2 linked regions of the Kluyveromyces lactis genome follow. The protein of the gene in region 1 purifies or fractionates together with the protein of each later gene. This does not show direct contact. Links are inferred from orthologs where the notes say so. Each region holds a gene or a part of one and is shown on either strand. Other genes may lie near its edges.

The links. Proteins that work in one complex are often made in the same cells at the same time.
Region 2: the proteins of SEC23 (region 1) and BET1 purify together in Saccharomyces cerevisiae (affinity purification with western blotting; 4 studies listed by BioGRID, with this or other methods). This does not show direct contact. The link is inferred for Kluyveromyces lactis from reciprocal best matches to the Saccharomyces cerevisiae genes SEC23 and BET1.

Annotation. Positions count from the first base shown.
Region 1 is NC_006041.1:432,732-436,497, forward strand, and holds SEC23 (GTPase-activating protein SEC23), read right to left. Parts: upstream 2,850-3,766; coding exon 567-2,849; downstream 1-566. Other genes in the region: E1 ubiquitin-activating protein AOS1, read left to right, coding at 1-409; GPI-anchor transamidase subunit GAB1, read left to right, coding at 3,490-3,766. UniProt on the Saccharomyces cerevisiae protein: Component of the coat protein complex II (COPII) which promotes the formation of transport vesicles from the endoplasmic reticulum (ER).
Region 2 is NC_006040.1:1,198,810-1,201,415, reverse strand, and holds BET1 (Bet1p), read right to left. Parts: upstream 1,088-2,606; coding exon 644-1,087; downstream 1-643. Other genes in the region: protein disulfide isomerase EPS1, read left to right, coding at 1-446; iron-sulfur cluster assembly protein CFD1, read left to right, coding at 1,494-2,345; VAB2 (Vab2p), read right to left, coding at 2,370-2,606. UniProt on the Saccharomyces cerevisiae protein: SNARE required for targeting and fusion of ER-derived transport vesicles with the Golgi complex.

The DNA.
Region 1 (3,766 bases):
TCAGGTCATTACCACCAAACATACTTATAAGCCATTGAAAGAACTTCTGAAATCTGCTACACTTATTAACCAATTGTCTAGACGGCAATTGAAAAGAATGACTCCAAAGGTTCCCTTAACTCTTACACTATTACAGTATGAAACTTTTCAAAACATAAATTTAGATGATTTTAGGAAGAAGTATGATTTAACTCGTAAGCAGCTTGGTTTATTAATTGGAGAAATCAGCAATGATACCATTGAAGAATTTGTTGAACAAGCCGCTGTAGAAATCAGTCCTGTGGCAGCAATCATTGGAGGAGCCGTTGCACAAGACGTGATAAATATTCTAGGGAAAAGGCAATCTCCGCTTAATAACTTCGTTGTTTTTGATGGTACGTCTTTAGATATGTGGGTATTCGAACTTTAATGACCCTGGTTTAGTAATTTAGCAATCAGTATCATTATATAGGACTAATTTATATAACATATGCTCATAAAACGCTTTATGAGATTTTTATCAAATATGTACCTGGTTGGAAAGCATAAGCATGGTATGTTCAACACTACTGCCATCAGGACAATAATTATGTTTGACCATTAACAGTTACTTGTTGCAAGTGGGACATGAAATTTTGTAAAGAAACATCATCAGTCAACACGATAGTTGAACCAGCGACAGCACCACTTTGATAACTGTCAGATGGGTTCAACTTGGATAACAAGAATCTGGCTTGCGAACCGCCAGCCTCAGTATCAATGAATCTTGGTAGAGGGAATCTGTCAATCAATAATTCTGCTGCTTCAAGCTTTGGTTCTTCTAATAAGGACTTGAAGTCTGCATACTGCGGATCATCTTGGTAACCTGCTTTTCTCCATTGAGCAATCTGTTCACCGTGATAAATCAAAATATAAAAGAAGGTATCCAACAACAAAATTGTGTTTGGTTTCACTGAAACAGAATCTAACAACACTGGTTGAGGTTCTTCTTCCATGGAGAATGAGGTTAGAGTAGGCTGAATCATAATCAGTGAGTTAGTGGTATCTTCTCTAGTGAAAATGTGTCTGTAAAATGCAGTTTCATCCGGAGAGTTATTGAAAACAGACAAAAACTGAGATCTTCTCAAATAATATGTGAATTGTGGATACAATGAAAATTGAGGAGATAATCTGAATGATGATGGATCATTCTTATTGTAGTCAGCGTATTTTTGACACAATTTAATCAAAGTTCTGTCAATCCATCTAATGACATCAGCGCCATCATCAGATTCTGCCTTGTCAACAGCAATTCTTGCCATTAGAACGGCAGCAGCCTCCTGATCAAAGGAGGATGCAATGGCTGGATTTCCAAAGGACAACATTTGGTTAGCAACAGTGGTGACCCTGACACGGTTTGTACCGGAGGAATGTTCATACGATGTAATGAATTGGGTGTAAGCTAACTTAGGCCTATCTGTCATTACTTCAGCAGATGCACCCGGGTTGACAATTTCAAAGAACACAGCGTAAGTGTGGCGTGGCGATAAAGATGACATCTTCCAAGAAGAAGTACCACCAATACCTATCTCAGAATCACTGACATTGGAGGCCTCGGTCTTAGTCTTCACAGCAGAGGCGTGGCCAATTAAACCTTGTAATTTTAGATCGCTACTTGTCTTAACAGACAAGGTACCCTTGAATGCCATTTGCAAATAACCTTCTTCATCCTTAGAAAAGAATCTTAGATATGACTGTTTAAAAATAGCGGTGGAGAACGCATCAGTCAATAACAAGACACCACCAGTGGAATCTGTTAGTCTCTTCATTTCGGACATACCAACTTGATCATAACAACCAGCAAAAATATCGACTGTATGACCATTGTCAGCGACTTTTTGAGCCAATTGGTTGTAGAATTTACAGGCCTTCTTGTAATGTTTTGCAGAATCAGAATCAATATCGTGATGAGATCTCAATGGGTCTTTTAATTCCGGGGAAACGACAAGACCTGGGCCCACGGTGCCAGGACCGGAGGAGAACAAGATTATTCTAGCAGCAACGTTCTTGTAACAACCTTCCAACACCAACGATGCAATGTTCAAAGCAGAACCAGTCGCTCTTAAAGGTCTGAAACCAGATTTCACATCCCATTGATCAGGCTTCAGGTTTTCCAACAATTGGGTCAACTTGAATTCAACTTGTTCCAATGGTAAGAAGAACCTGTTCAAAGAGAAAGGTGTAACCTTGGTTGGAGCATTGATATTAACGGCTTGTGCAGCATTTAATTTTTCACCGGTTAGCATTTCAACTAATTGAGCCAATTGGTATTCACGATCACCTCTGAACACATTACATTTATCAATAGAAGCTGATGATAAGTCGTGCAGTTGAATCACATTATCGTAAGTGATTAGACCAACTAATGCATTTGCAGGAAGCAAGGACAATGAAGTGATAATTGATTCCTTCAAAGCTTGGAGGTTTTCCTCTTCTGCAGTAGTATCCACAATAAAGAAGAAAATTGGTGGAACTTGGACAGGAACACTGGTGATATATTCAACTGTAGTATTAGTCAATTCCAGTGGTAAAGTTTCCTGCGTCATATTGGCATAATGTTGAGGAAGAATGTTTCTTGTCTTACAAATAGGACAAGTCCAGGTATTGGATCTAACATCGATCTCACAGTAAGGATTTAACACAGATTTACAGTTGATGTTACCACATACCACAGGATTATAGCCAGCAACAGCAAGATCTTCACGTTCCTTCAAAGGAGTGTATAAACATCCAACTGGAACCACATTCTTATTAGCGTCAGTTCTTGACGCTGGAAACACGTTCCATGAGAAACGAACACCGTTAATATCTTCGTTTTGTTCGAAATCCATGGTGCTAAATCTCTTGATTCCAATCTATAAGCAGTTGGAAAAGAATGTATAAATCTTCTATGTGGTTCAAACAGATCAAATCCCTAGCACTCACCTTAGCCTGAGCAATTGGACTTTTACAGGCTACTCTGGTTCTCTTTTTGTTGTGTTGATAAATCCTGTGTATTGCTAGATATTTTTTTCATCAAAACATTTCTTTCAAGGTCAGAAAATGCCAAATAATGCAAAACAAAAAATGACCCACTAAGGAAAGGCTTGAACTCAGATCTCTGTGCCTCAGTGCTGTAAGATTATCGGTTAAACACAGTATTGTTGTGACTAAACCTGACATTCGACTGCAGGTTGCAAAATTCTGCTGTTTTAGAAGCGAGTATCTTAATCACGTGATATGTAAACACGTATTAGAGTAAACTGTTCACGTGTCCGGGTAATGTTTGTGTGGATCACTTTTTGTATTACCATTGATTTAACTGATGTACTTCATTTCAATACAATAAGCTTTCAAATATGCATAATTTGTACTGCAATTACGAAGCTCGGTTCACGATTGGTTTGTTTTTTTGCATTGAACGGTGATACGATTCTGAGAGGATACGAAGTGACCCTACTGTGTTGACTTGTTGTGTCGCTTGAGGTGATTATGGTTTCGTCCGAATGGCAGGTTGTATGGGCTTGTTTTGCGTCCAGATTGGCTGTTTCGTACCTGTTCCCTTCTTTGCAGCAGCAATTGGACAGAACCGTTGAGTTTTCTACTCCGGTTACAAGCTATAGATCTCTGCAAGAAGGTGCGTATCTTTTACTGCATAATTTGCCCATTTATGATGGTGGTGTTGTGCATCATGTGCCTCTGCTGGTAGCTTTAATGGCATTCGTTCAACAAGCGGAGTTTCTAATGCCCGTTTTGTTTGCGGCCATGG
Region 2 (2,606 bases), on another chromosome or scaffold:
ACAAGGTCATATTTGCCTATTTGGACATTAATGAATCCCCTTCTCTCTTGAATAATAAAGGTCTAAATGTTTACTTCAGGAAGTTCAAGACTGGTGATATCATTGTCGTGGACAAGCAAAAAGCCATCTATTACGAAAAGGATGCTTCTGGACAATACATCACCCTAGAGACGTTGCCCGAAGTCCTCTCCATTCTGAATTTCCCCGCAAGACACCCTGATCTTCGTATTGAACGCATCTTTTTGAGAACTCCACTCAGTGGATTGCTCAGATTAATTGACTACCTCCGCGAATTTAGCGGAATCAATTACTTATTTGTTGTGGTGACATTCTTGGCGTTATGGAAAATACCCAGAACCATTCATCATTATAAACTGAAAAGACGTTACGCTGCAAAACGGGATACTCATGGTATCCTCGGGAAGGAAGCTAAGCTCATGGATTGAGGAACAGGAATTCTTCCTATAAATAATCTTATATTTCAACCTAATACTGATAGTTACGATTTATTAATATATCTTTTTAATGGTACATATAATGCGTGAAGGAATGCGTTTAACCAATACGAATTAGATATACATGCTCGATGGGATACTCTTCAGTACATGACCCTTTTGTGGTTTTTTATTTCGCTCTCGCTCTCTCAACGTATCCAGACGTAGAAGAACAAAAGTGTCAGAACACCAAATATTATGAACCATATTTTTAATGGAATGCGAGAATTCTGAGCCATCACCATCATTCTCTTGAAAGTCCTTTTCAAACGGTTGCTAGTCTGTTCAAAAACGTTTCCTAACTGATCTAAGGTCTGATTGCTACCACGAATCTCATCTCCCATTCGTAGAGATAAATTCTTTAGTGCGTTGATCTTTTCACTCATGGTATTCATTTGTTCATCACTTTGAGACTCGAGCTGCGAAAGTGTTGCTTGAGAATAATCTACCCCTGGGGATGGTCTATCAAACGGCGAACTTGGTCTATCCTGTTGTTGTTTATACTTAGAGAAGTCAGTACCCGCAAACAATTGCGTCCTACTCGCATCTCGCTGTGTCAAATCACCTTGCATTCCACTATAGTTTGAACTCATACCTTAATTATTTCTAGTGCCTCAACAATAAAATACAAAGTGTAGATTTGTCAAGATACTCAGATCTAACCATAGGGAATTAAGTGCAGTTTCACCTTGGAACTTCCTAGTCCATCTGTAAGCTACTACCAAATCGATTCGCTTAACGAAAACTTTTTGTTGAAGTTTAATCACGTGATATTGTCCTCGAAGGTTTCCCCTTCGCTCTGACAAAGGTATCATTATCATCATGAAATCCTAGTTAAGCTAAGAGTTAAATGTATTAGTCAACCTACTGTTTAAACGGCTGAGAAAAGTATTTGCAGTATACCCTTTTATAAGTATTCTGTCCACTGTGAGCATATACAGTCATATCTGCAGTGGCTGGTACGTTTAGTGTCCCAGGATCATAATCAATTGTATCTCGATGTCAGCTGAAACCGAATTATTGGGTATGCCTGAGTCCTTAAAGGACATCAAGCACATTATATTGGTCCTTTCTGGTAAAGGTGGTGTTGGTAAGTCATCTGTCACCACACAGACAGCATTAACTTTATGTTTAAAGGGATACAAAGTGGGTGTTTTAGACATTGATCTAACTGGACCGTCGTTGCCTAGAATGTTTGGTTTAGAAAATAAACAGGTTTATCAGGCTTCTAAGGGTTGGATACCCGTTAGTGTTCCTACGACATCAGGAGGGGAATTGAAACTCATGTCCTTGGGTTTTCTTTTGGATGATAGAGGTAATAGTGTGGTATGGCGTGGTCCTAAGAAAAGTGCTATGATTAAACAATTTATAAAAGATGTGGATTGGGGAGATTTGGACTATTTGATTATCGATACACCGCCCGGAACTTCGGATGAACATATATCTATCGCAGAAGAGTTGAGGTGGGCTGCACCTGATGGTGCTATTATTGTTACCACGCCTCAAGGTGTCGCTACGGCAGACGTGAGAAAGGAAATCAATTTCTGTAAGAAAGTCAACTTCAATATACTCGGTGTCATCGAGAATATGTCCGGATTTATATGTCCTCATTGTGCTGAATGTACAGATATCTTCTCTAGAGGAGGCGGTTTCAAATTAGCCAGCGAATATAACGTTCCGTACCTGGGGAATATTCCAATTGATCCGACGTTTGTCGAGTTGATTGAGAAACAGACTGGGTTCAAAGAGAGCTTAGTTGATCTCTACAAGGATTCTGGATTGTATGTCATTTTCTCAAAGATATTAGATAATGTACTGAACGGTGAAGTAAAAAGTGGAACAGATCAATAATGGGTAAATTTGACATGAAACTTTTCATAAGTCAGCCGATTTGCTCATGCCTCGAGGTCTAGTGAACGGTTCTGTGATACATATATGCTCAAGAGTTGTAGCGATTGATGGCCTTGATGTACTCCGGATTGATGACAGTGCTAATGGCGCCGAGGATATCGACTGACGGTACGATTTGGTGGTGTTTGAGTCCGCTGAATTTCCTTTGGTACTATGATAATCTTTTTTAGCATTATTTTGGCTTCCATTTGTACTTTGCCT